Linked DNA regions of Caenorhabditis elegans. The main gene of each other region encodes a partner of the protein of the gene in region 3 in a complex. Each region holds a gene or a part of one and is shown on either strand. Other genes may lie near its edges.

Region 1 (3,681 bases), on a different chromosome or scaffold from region 3:
TCACTGGTTTCACAGCTGGAGACTGATGGTTTTCTGCGGAACTACGATGCGATGACACCAACGATAACCCAGTTTTCTGAGGATGACTCGCTGCAATACATATTCCCAGTGGAAGAGAATTTGGAAATGAGCACAGCGTGCAGTTTCGTGCCGTCACTTGATATGCAGAGCACCCAGAATCCGTCTCCATCTACTTTGAAAACTATGAAAATCGAGGAAAGCCGGAATTTCCAGACCATGTCGGCGATGACGTTGGCCTGCGGTGGAGCTGCAGCAGATATTGTCACCGTGCCGGCCGACCGGATCACGTTTGCCGCTGGCAAGCTGGAAGAAGTTATTCGAGTCACTAACGTCTCGCAATCGCATATTATGTTCGCTTTGAAGGTGAGGTCTCGGTTTGGCGCGTAAAATTGTATGTATTGTGGTTTTTGTGCAATTCACCGACTTCAATGCATCGGACTTTACGCACAAGTTGGTACTTTGTGATTTTCCAAACATTTTTGCTGAAAAAAAAAATTGAAAATTCGAATTTGCGTGTAAAATTAACTCGCAAATTATTACGATATTATCAAAATATATAAACTGACATGTGAAACGTGGCTTATTTTTTATTTTGTTTTTTATTTAAGCGCCTCCCATTTTTTTAAATGAGCTAATAAATAAAAATTTTAACGAAAGGCCAGGAATGGGAGGAGCTTAAATAAAAAACAAAATAAAAAATAAGCCACGTTTCACATGTCAGTTTATATATTTTGATAATACTTAACACAAAATTCTGAGAATGCTTATGGCGCAACATATTTGACGCGCAATATATCTCGTAGCGAAAACTACAGTAATTCTTTAAACGACTACTGTAGCTCTTGTGTCGATTTAACGGCTCGATTCTAGATAGAAATTTTTAGATAGCTAATTAGATATGGATTTTCGAAATATCGATAGAATATTAAAATTAAGCAAAAAAGTAAATAATTCGAAGAAACGAATTGTTTTCATTTCGAAAACGAAACCCGTATATCGACACAAGTGCTAAAGTAGTCCTTTAAAGAATTACTGTAGTTTTCGCTACAAGATATTTTGCGCGTCAACATTCTAGAAATCTAGAAATTTCTAGATTTCTAGAAAATCTAGAAATTTCTAGAAATTTCTAGACGCATTCTAGAAATTTTGTGCTCCCGTAATATACACAAATTGAATTGTATAATGTAAATTGTTTGAAAACCGATAATTTCAGACAAATGCCGACGCCTACCTCATCGCTGCTCCAACTTCTGGAGTTCTTCTGAGCGGACAAAGCATGACAATCCGTGTTGGAGTCACTGGCAACTACTTCGATGATTTTTCGGATCCTGGAGTTTCCATTGATAAGGTTATTTTATAATTCTATTGAATAAAACTTCAATTTCCGATTTCCAGCTCGCCATCGACTATGCTCTGATCCCCAGCCGTTCCTACTCCAAATTTTCCTCCGAGTTCTTCTATTCCCAGAACCGACGTCGCCTCGCAATTCGTGTGTTCTATCAATGATTTGTCTCTTTTCTCGACTTTATTTTATTTATTTTTGTATTTGTAAAAAGCTTTTATGAGTAAAATTGTGTTTAAATCATGTTTTCCTGGCATTTCTACTTCCATGGGAGATTTCGATCCCTAAAACTGAGGTTTCAAACAAGCTGCAAGTACGCTCTACCGTACGAAGCCATTTTCAAACGCGGGAAATTGTTTCAAAAATTAATTTCGGAGATTTCTTTTTCATTTTTTCTGATTTTCTCGGCCTGTTTCTTCAGTTTTCTTGTAAAATTTACTGTTTAATTAATAAAAATGTACATTTTTCAGAAAATGGTTGCCCATCAGAAGGCGGATTTCAAGTCGAAATGGGCGATGGTCGTGACTGTCAATAACCTGAATGACAAGAAGCGAGCCGATTTGAGAGAATTTTCCGAGTGGTTTATCGAGACTTTGAGATTGGAAGGAGCTTTTATTGGTCACTATTTCAATTATGAGGTTATTAAGAGTTAATAATTAATTAATTATAAATGCAATAATTCCAGGCTGCACCGGTGACCATCGTCGAGACTTTGCCAGGCAATTTTGACTCATGCACTAATGCATATCAGAAGATTCACAAGGTTTTGATGGATAAATTAAATAAAATTCAATTAAATAATTCTTCAGGAGCATCCGCAGGTCGTCCTCGTCGTGCACATTCTTCCACAGTCGCAGTCGAACGAGTACGAGTGGATGAAGGTGTTGGCGTCGAGATACGGATTCGTCCGTCAGGGATTGCTCTACGATAACTGTGCCAATCGTTTCCAAAATGTGGAAACCGATCAGAATAGCGTGTTCCGGAACATGTGCCAATGGATTTATCGTAGCGGCACCGCGATTGTGAGAAATGAGGGAAAGTAAGTCGAATTACATTTTTTTATTTAGCCATTTTTTATTTAATTCCTGTGTGTTTCAGCGCGTGTGGAATTCTCCATGGAAAAGATCCGAAACCGACGTTCGACAAGGTTCTCTTCAACAGCGAAGACATCAAGGATTCCGTTTTCAAAGTTCTTCACGCCGAAGAAGAGCCGAGAGGTGCGGATCAGGAGAACATGCTGAAGATCAGTGGATATCCGGGGATGCTCAACACGTTCGGCATCGCACAACTTCTCACCCCATATCGTGTCAATGGGATCACCATCACCGGCGCCCAGTCGGCCGTCGTTGCCCTGGAGAACAAGTTTCAAGTCTATCAGGCCGTGCAGGATTTCAACGGGAAGAAGCTCGATCGCAATCACAAACTTCAAGTTAGCAGCCTCGTCGTCTCGTCGCCAGCCGTTCCACTCGAGTGGCCATCGCTCAAAAAGTCGAAGAAGCTCGTGGAGCAAGTGGGAAAGCCGATCAGACTTTCGAAAGTCTCCTCTTAAATGTGCCCCAATTTGCTTATAAGTTATTTTTTTCTGATTTCTGATGATCTTTCTTCGATATCTCGACCTTTACCGGTTTTTTTAATCAATTTGCTCATATTCCTTGATAAATAATCTCTCCATTAGCATGTGCGATTTTTTTTTCATTTTAATCTGTTAAAATCGGGGCTCGATTCTTGTTTTCGTTGGAGAGAATTGTTCTTAAAATAAGTAATTTTTTAGATGGAAGAAGGCAGCTCCTCACAGCCATCCGACGACTATGAGCCGAGATATAAAATTTGTAAGATTTTCCAGGTCTCGACACGACAATTTGTGTTCATTACAAATAGGTGTGCGCCTTTAAAAAAGTACTGTAATTCAGAGAAGATTTTCTGCGGAATTTTGATAGATTTTTCAGAGTTTTTCTCTCGATTTGTTGAAATTCAAGTGTTTTATTGTTATACTAGAACATTAAGCATATTTTTACTAAAAAAAAACAAAAAAAATCGAATAAAATTATGTGTCGAGACCGGTGTTCGGCCCAAAACTTCCACAAAAAATAAAATCTCGAAAAAACTCGTGGCGAGACCCAATTTTCTTCCAGCACGACCAAATCAACAAATGCGACTTCCTATAATTCGGCCTAAAATCCCGCCGAAATCCTCAGGCCCACCGGTTCGCCTGATCACCTCCGCCACTCCACAACCGATAGCGCCGAGCACATCGAACCCGCGGCCGCTGATCTCACTGCTCGATCGGACAGAGTTTCGCGATCGGAATCGACCGGCGC
Region 2 (4,124 bases), on a different chromosome or scaffold from region 3:
CGAAGATTTTGCATATATCTTGTTTTTTTGGCGATTTTCCTTTGCTCACATAATATACCTATTCTTATTTTCAGACTTGGTACCAATTTCATTCTTCTTCGTCTCCTTAACCAATGTCTTCGCATAGCCGATCATCCAGTGATTCGAGTTTTGAATTTGTGAAGGAAGATGGCGAATCTCAAGTGGCAAAGATGGCATTGAAAATGGAACAGAGGTCGAAGGAAGTTCAAGATGCTTTAGATATCCTTAGCATCAATGGAGATGTTTCTTCTGACGAAGAAGCAGTATCTGTAAAAGAAGAATCTTCTGATGAAGCGGGAGTTAACACTTCCCAAGAAGTTATTCAGAATGATGATACTGAAGAATCTGAAAAATCGGAAACTATATCTCGTGAAGTGTCCAACACCGATGAATTCGGGATTGGAAACAATGTGGGATTTACTGCAAAAGTTGATGATCTTATTGAAAAAATCGCTGAAGCCGTTAAGGATCAACAAATATCAGAGACCACTGAAATTCGTTACAGTGATCCACTTGGGGCATTGGAACCTCTCGTGGGTGAACCCAACGAAATTGAAAAATCAGAACTTTTGTCTGAAATTCGCCAATTACGATCTGAAATCGAAGAGATGAAAGAAACGGAAGTGAAACAAAATTCAACGGTATAGTTTTTTGTAGGGATAAAATTAGTTGAAAATGTTTTTTTCTAGATAAGACTTCTCAAACTGAAGTTCGACGAGATTGACGAAAGGGAGAGACAGAAGGAATTACAGGTAAATTTTTGGAAGGAACTTAAGGCATCCATGGCATCGGTGGCAGGCAGGCGTACATGCCTGCCAACTCTCAATTTTTTACATTTGGAAGTGAACTCCAGTGCAATTTGAATAATGTAGAGCTACTTTGAACCAAAAAACTCCTGAAACTAAATGGATTTTAATTTTCGCAACATATTTTCTGCGCAAATATCTCGTAGCGAAACCTACAGTAACTTTTTCAATTCGAACTAAACTGAAAGATTTGGGGTTACAGTAGTCATTTACATATTACTGTGGATTTCTCTTCGAGATATTTTGAGCGTTAAATATGTTGCGTAATAGGCATTCTCAGTTGGAAATATCTACATAATAATTTAAAAAAATCATAGGCTTTAAACAAAAGATTTTGTGAAAAATCAGTCTCATTTTGGATTACAATTCGGGAGTAGCTTTCCTAAAACTCCTCCCTATCAATATATATTCCATCAAAAATTTGTTTTAATTTCCAGCGTTACACTCCGATTGCAACTGGAATCTGCGGTGCTTGGCGGCTCTCCGAGATCAATAAGTATAATGAAACACTCAAAACCCGTGGAGTATCGTTCCCAAATCGTCTGAAAACTCTTGCTGCTTACACCGTATACAACTTCGATGGTACTTATCTGAAATCTCACAATCAAGTTTTTTGTAAAACGTTTAACAGTGGCTGTTTGAAACTTGGAACTCATGAGATAACCGGTGGAATTGTTGTATCAACCTTCATTTATAGAAATAAAATGATAACAATTTGGAAGAATAAAGATGGAACTTCTTGTGTAAGAAAGGAGAGATACATTAAAGATGGAAAATTGTACAATGTGCACACAAACAATTCCGGCGAAAGGACTATACGCATTTTTGAACGAGTTCAGGGAAAATCAGATATCTTGTACTCAATTGCAAACGTCGGAGGACTCTATCTCAAATTTTGGTGATCACCTGCTTTCTTCAATCCACACAACTTGGTCTCGCAACGAAATATCATCTTAATGATTCTCAAATTCACAGCATTAATTAATTCGCTATTTTATTCAATAATTTTTAATTTTCTCCGTCCATTTGTCTTTCAAAATTTTTTAAAGCAATTTTTAATCATTTTAATCGTTCTCCGTGGGAAATAATGAATCTTTTCGAAATTCTGTGCCTGTAAATAATGATTTCAAGGGTACTGTAGTTTTTTTTAAACAAGTGCGCTCTATTGCACACCGCTGGAATACGCGCGAAAAATGGGAGATTTCATTTTTGCTCGCTTTTTTTGCATTTCAAGCATTTTTTTAAAATTAAAGCAAGAATATTTTCAGTTTCAGAATTACATTTTTTAGAGATGGCTTCCAGCTCGACCGCATATTATCTGAAAGACGCCGGATTCCATATTCGCAATATTCCGAAAGCTTGGAATGATTGGAACTTGTTCCATGTCTTCCAAAACTTTGGAAAAGTCAGTTATTGCCGTGTTGTTGGACAATCCAACGATGGTCAAGTTCAATTGGGGTAAGATAGTGAGACTCTAGAAACGATTCATTTAAAATCTTCAGATTTGTGAACATGATGTCGGTAGCAGATGCTGATGAAGTTCGCAAGAATTTGAACGACGGAAATCTGATCGGCGAAAATTTCACGTTGAAGGTGAGCGTTGCGAATATATAAATTCAAATTAAAACTGTAATTTTAAGGTTACCGATCATAAGAACGTCGGAGGATCTCTTCTCCCAATGGCTTCCAATTCCGTTCAGAAGCTTGTATCATCTCCACCATCGAAAAGCGGACCAGTTCTTCTATCATCATCCTGGCTTCCACTCAACAAGGATATCGAGGTTTCTTACTTTTCCTTCAGCTTATATTAAATTTTCAATTTAGGTCGAAGTTGTCGACTATCTTCCATCCTCATCAGTGGCTCCAGATCTTTTCGCGTTGACTCTTCTCCGCATAAATGATTCGTCAATGAAAGAAAAATATGATTCAATGCACGAGAAAATGAACGCGTATGCTCAAATTGTTCCATTCGATTCGGAGCTCGAAATTGGCTACGATGGAGTCTTCCGTGATGCTCCCCGTTCCGTTCGACGCGTTCGACGCATCTCAGCCACCAAGCTTTATCTCGTTGATTTTGGAAAAATTATCAATTATGAGAAGGCAAAATGCTTCCAATTGCCAAAAGTTTTCCAGTCGATGCCGACAAGGGTAAGAGTTCCATTCAAATGTTTAACATATTTTTTCTATTTATTTTCAGGTTTCCTTGTGTGGACTAGATGGTCTTACCTGGTCACCAGTCGCCATTCCATCATTTGATAATATTCGCGAGGTTGTTAAAAAATGGGGACAAATGGAAAATTCGACGCTTCACGCCATGGCTTGTGGATTTCAAGGCTCTATTAACATGATCAATCTGTTCTGTGGAAAATGTGCGTTTTTTCTTTTGAAAATTCCCCTCATAATAATTTTTACAGCGATTCTTGCTGACCGTCTTCAACGTAAAGGTGTCTGTGAATACTTGCCACGCAGTCAGCAGCCACACTATGCATACTCCCGCGAGACTCTTCTTCAGCACAATAATTCTGGAGTGGTGAGATTTGATGATTTAAAGGGATTTTCAGTTTTAATTTGGCTTTATTTTCAGACTGCTCAAATTTCGAACGATGCTGATGTCGTCAAAGATCTACTCAAGAAGATTGATGGAGTGAAGAACATGCTCCGTGAGCTCGAGCTGTAAATCTGTCCCATTTTTTTTGTCGAAATTACATTGAATCTATGATGTTGTCAAAAAAATGAACATTTTAATTCAGTGTCAGATTTTATAAGAACAACAACAAGAAAAATAACAACGAGAAAACAACAAAAAGAAAAGAAAATCAACAAGAAAAAAATCAAGAAACTTTGAAAAGTGAAAACTAATCGCTGTTCCAGGCGTCGTAATTCAAGAAGTTGGTTACAACATTGTGTCGCATCCTTTCCATCTTGCCGGAAGCTTCACGAATTTTTCCTGCCAATTCAGAGGAAGATCCGTTTTTAAGCGTCTGAAATGAAATTAATATTATATTTTGATAACATTGTTCGCGGTTACATTAGCGCTCATGGCCAGGGTAACACCGTCCAGAACGATTCCGATGGCTGCAACGCTCTGCAGCATTCCTTTCATAAGTGCATTCGTGAGATGGCCCTAAAAACGAAGGTAAAAATTTAAATTTCAAAAAAACAACTATTCTACCATGGAAGATGCGGCCATTTTAATTCCGAATCCTGTGATTCCGGCGAGAGAAACACCAAAAAGTGTTTTCAAATGAGACTGGACATCGTCGAAGTTTTTGAAAATCTTTGACGATTGCTTGTCCT
Region 3 (3,428 bases):
TACGACGCAGTCATGATAAACAGAGGATTAAAAAAAAATTTTTTCATCACACGTTCGGAGGAGCTACGTCCGATTTTAACCGTTTTCTCCCGGTAGTTAATAATTTACGATCGAAATTGTTTGATTTGTTCCGAAATTCAATATACCTGAAGAATTGTCAATTTTCTAGCTCTCATCTTTCCTTTTGATGTGATATCAACGCGAATTGGCTCAAAGACAAAATCTGTATTTTCGATTTGAACAATATAGGTTCCAGTAGGCACGAAATCAACACGGAATGTACAATCTTGACGAACAAATCCCATATATTGGCCATGGTTCAAATGAATACGAGCACCTGCGGACCATTTTGCACAATTTCGAGTAGATGGAAGTGCGATCTGAAATTTTTTTTTTGAGGACTATGAAATATTTAATTTACAACGAATTTGTTGTTATTAGAATAGGAACCTAGAAGATAAAATTTTAAAAAATGTGAGAACTGGAAAAAGTATTCAGAAGCATATAAACGTTGTCTTAATTTATAATATGACTTCTCTATGAATATAGCCAAAATGATCGATATTTTTAATCCAAAAATCAAACATTTTTGGTATACGAACCTCGCCTTCGACGGAGAATAATGTCGATGTTTGCTCAGTTCTGCTCACTTCTTCTGTTGCACTGCCGAGCACTATCAGGGAGAATAAAAGTAGAATAGACTTCATTTCTGAAATTGATTTGTCAATTTCCAACTTAATAATCATTTTAAAATATTAAAGCTCGTAAATGTTTCACGAGATATTTCAGATCATACATATTGCAAAAATTGAATAAATAATTCATAAAGTCAGTGTGCGGTAAAAAAAATCGATAATCAAAAAGGCAAAATAGGACCTAAAACAGGAAATTTTTGGGAGGGGAGTCATTTTCAGAAACAAAAAGTGAAAAAATTGAGAATAAAGATGATATTTACACAAATTGATCAAAAAACCGTGTTCACATAATAGTTTAAAGTCTTCGGAATTTGAGTGAAAATGAGAAAAATGAATTGGGAATCATGGGGAGAAAATTAATTGAAACGCTTCAAAAATTCTTCAGCAGAAACACGGGCACGGGCGTTGAGAGACAGCTTCATCTCGGAAATTTCCTGGAAATTTATGGAATTTTTTAAAAATTAACTTAAAATGTTCACCTTATCAATTTCCTGCATAAAATGAAGCAAAAAGTCGACAAGTTTGTGCTTGAACATTGCTTCTGTGTGAGATGCTGTGATGAGGAACGAGATGTCATAACCTAAAATTATCGCTTTAATCTCTGAATATTAGTATTAATTCTGACCTGGCAGTGGCTTGCGACGGAGCACAAAGAAGTTATCGGCTCTTTGGCACATGAATCGAGTGAACTTGTGGCACAGAATCTTCTCGATTTCGTCGGATTGTTTGATGGCGATTGATATTCTGACAGAATTGACGGAGGGTTCGATGAGTACTCGTTCCTGTTTGTTTCGAGCAACAACAACTGGCGTCATGAGCAGTTCTTTCGATGTTTGAACTTCCACCTACAATTTTATTATAATATACAAATAGAATAATACATTTAAATAGTTTTTGAGCGAAAAACTATTGCAATTGGCGGCGGACTGATTTAAATTATTCAATCTTCACACTTTGCAAGTCATTTTACTGTTATAAATCTTACTTCTGGTTTGTTGTGTCTCTCGACCACCTGCGAACTGAATTGCTCAAGACAGAGAGCTGCCTGGAGCGTGTGACGCACGGCCTCCAGATATGGTTGGAGTGTTGCGCTCATTACCTGCAATGCGCATGCTTATTGATTTTTTTATTGACGAAACAGTTTGAGACATTATTTAGAAGTGAAAAAAGATTGCATGGAACAAAATAAAACATGAAATACCGGCGAAAATCGTAAAATTGGAGTCGATAATCCGAAAATGAATCATTATTTGCGTCGTTTTGAAAGTAATGCAAACACGCTCCGCTGCACTTTTTGTTTCGAGTAGCGCGCGAAGACAAATTTATCATCCATTCTTTTAAAAATTGTCAATTTTAAAATTAATTTTCTGATTTTCAATCATTCCACTTTCCCATTTTGCAAAATATTTTGCGTTTTCAGTAAAATTTAAAAATTTAAACCTTTCAGAATGACTACTGCCATCCAATATCAAGTTATTCCTTTAGCTGACCGTGAGCACAGCAACAAAGTGGCGTCGATTCTGGAAAACAAGTACAAAACTGCGACAAATAAACGAATCACATTGAATGAGCGCTTCGGAGTTCTCGGTAAATGTTTTCAAGCATTTTTGAATCATAATAACATAGTTGTCTTCCAGAAAAGGGGTACACTATTCAAGCCACTGAGCCAGAGACTGTCAAAAACGATTCTGATGTCTTCTTTGTCGTTCACGACCGGAACTTGAATTCGAAAAAGGAATTTGTGGAGGTAATTATTTAGACTATTCGAACTTTTAATCAAAGCACTGATATTAACACAACTCTTAATGTTTTCCTTAAAAAATGAAACTTTGAGATTTTATGAGAACCTGGTTATGTTTCAGAACTATCTCGCAAAAAATCCAATTGTCAATTCACCGGAGAAAGTTTTCGAAGAGGAGGACAAGGAGAATGCACCGACCAAGAAAGCTGTTTTGAAGCCGTCCTCTACTGATGAGAAGAAGCTCACCAGCTCGGATATCTACATTCAAGAAATCACCAGAAGCATTCTTCAATCCGTTTAATTTTTCCATAAATTGCAAAATTCATTTTCCAAAATTTATGTATTTTTCTCACAATTTTTGAGCAGCCCTTTTCTTCTTTAAGTGTTATAATTTCCCTCGTTTTCCCACACCCATGAACTTCAGTGCAAATTTTCATAATCTTATCCTACGATTTTCTGTGGTATTCCTTCGATAAGTAAATCGTTCAAAGTAAGTGCTTGTTTGATTTTCGTTTGAGCACGCAATAATTTCAAGATTGGCATAAAAAATAACTGAAATGGGAGCAGAAGTAATGGGAGAACGCTATGCTTCAATGCGGGATTTATTGCGCATTTGGTATTGAAACGAAAAGAGTAACATTTAAGTTCAAAGGACAGAGCATATGTGTGTAGGGGTCTCGCCGCGAGAAAAACATATTAAAAATAATCTTCTGTTAACGTAAGAAGACATTTAAACCAAGTATCTTTAATAAATACGATTCCCGCGGCGAGACCCTTTTGTATAAGCGCGTCTCCCTTGAAACTTGTAGAATTTTGCCAAAAATGCACAATAAGTGAATTTTCCAGTGGAATAGTGTCGGAATACAAAAGTGTTGAAAATCCTGATATGTAAACTACTACTACCGGAGCCGAAGCCGCGAGGAAGTCTACCTGAAAGTGAGAAAGAATCTAAAGATCCTCAGTCAATCCCCGAATGAATAATAACCGATCAA

The links.
Region 1: tost-1 (region 3) and pid-3 share a complex: the UniProt entries of both Caenorhabditis elegans proteins name them as parts of the tost-1 variant of the PETISCO complex.
Region 2: tost-1 (region 3) and tofu-6 share a complex: the UniProt entries of both Caenorhabditis elegans proteins name them as parts of the tost-1 variant of the PETISCO complex.

The regions. Positions count from the first base shown.
Region 1 is NC_003279.8:2,618,823-2,622,503, forward strand, and holds pid-3 (Protein pid-3), read left to right. Parts: upstream 1-1,827; 5' UTR 1,828-1,836; coding exon 1,837-2,001; intron 2,002-2,048; coding exon 2,049-2,126; intron 2,127-2,172; coding exon 2,173-2,402; intron 2,403-2,461; coding exon 2,462-2,912; 3' UTR 2,913-3,037; downstream 3,038-3,681. Other genes in the region: spe-47 (Major sperm protein), read left to right, coding at 1-384, 1,235-1,369, 1,417-1,527; Y23H5A.2 (t-SNARE coiled-coil homology domain-containing protein), read left to right, coding at 3,135-3,192, 3,496-3,681. UniProt on the Caenorhabditis elegans protein: Component of the pid-1 and tost-1 variants of the PETISCO complexes, which have roles in the biogenesis of a class of 21 nucleotide PIWI-interacting RNAs (piRNAs) that possess a uracil residue at the 5'-end (also called 21U-RNAs) and embryogenesis, respectively.
Region 2 is NC_003280.10:5,419,161-5,423,284, forward strand, and holds tofu-6 (Embryonic developmental protein tofu-6), read left to right. Parts: upstream 1-2,087; 5' UTR 2,088-2,118; coding exon 2,119-2,285; intron 2,286-2,329; coding exon 2,330-2,420; intron 2,421-2,467; coding exon 2,468-2,608; intron 2,609-2,651; coding exon 2,652-2,975; intron 2,976-3,024; coding exon 3,025-3,196; intron 3,197-3,241; coding exon 3,242-3,357; intron 3,358-3,411; coding exon 3,412-3,504; 3' UTR 3,505-3,577; downstream 3,578-4,124. Other genes in the region: EEED8.15 (PHR domain-containing protein), read left to right, coding at 114-662, 711-773, 1,265-1,729; F07F6.7 (Apolipoprotein L, 1), read right to left, coding at 3,683-3,808, 3,856-3,951, 4,000-4,124. UniProt on the Caenorhabditis elegans protein: Component of the pid-1 and tost-1 variants of the PETISCO complexes, which have roles in the biogenesis of a class of 21 nucleotide PIWI-interacting RNAs (piRNAs) that possess a uracil residue at the 5'-end (also called 21U-RNAs) and embryogenesis, respectively.
Region 3 is NC_003281.10:4,877,026-4,880,453, reverse strand, and holds tost-1 (Protein tost-1), read left to right. Parts: upstream 1-2,142; 5' UTR 2,143-2,143; coding exon 2,144-2,282; intron 2,283-2,332; coding exon 2,333-2,442; intron 2,443-2,557; coding exon 2,558-2,737; 3' UTR 2,738-2,928; downstream 2,929-3,428. Other genes in the region: C35D10.1 (ER membrane protein complex subunit 7 homolog), read right to left, coding at 147-380, 603-707; arx-6 (putative actin-related protein 2/3 complex subunit 4), read right to left, coding at 1,052-1,129, 1,175-1,275, 1,321-1,540, 1,681-1,791. UniProt on the Caenorhabditis elegans protein: Component of the tost-1 variant of the PETISCO complex which plays an essential role in embryogenesis. Within the complex acts as an adapter which binds to the complex via erh-2.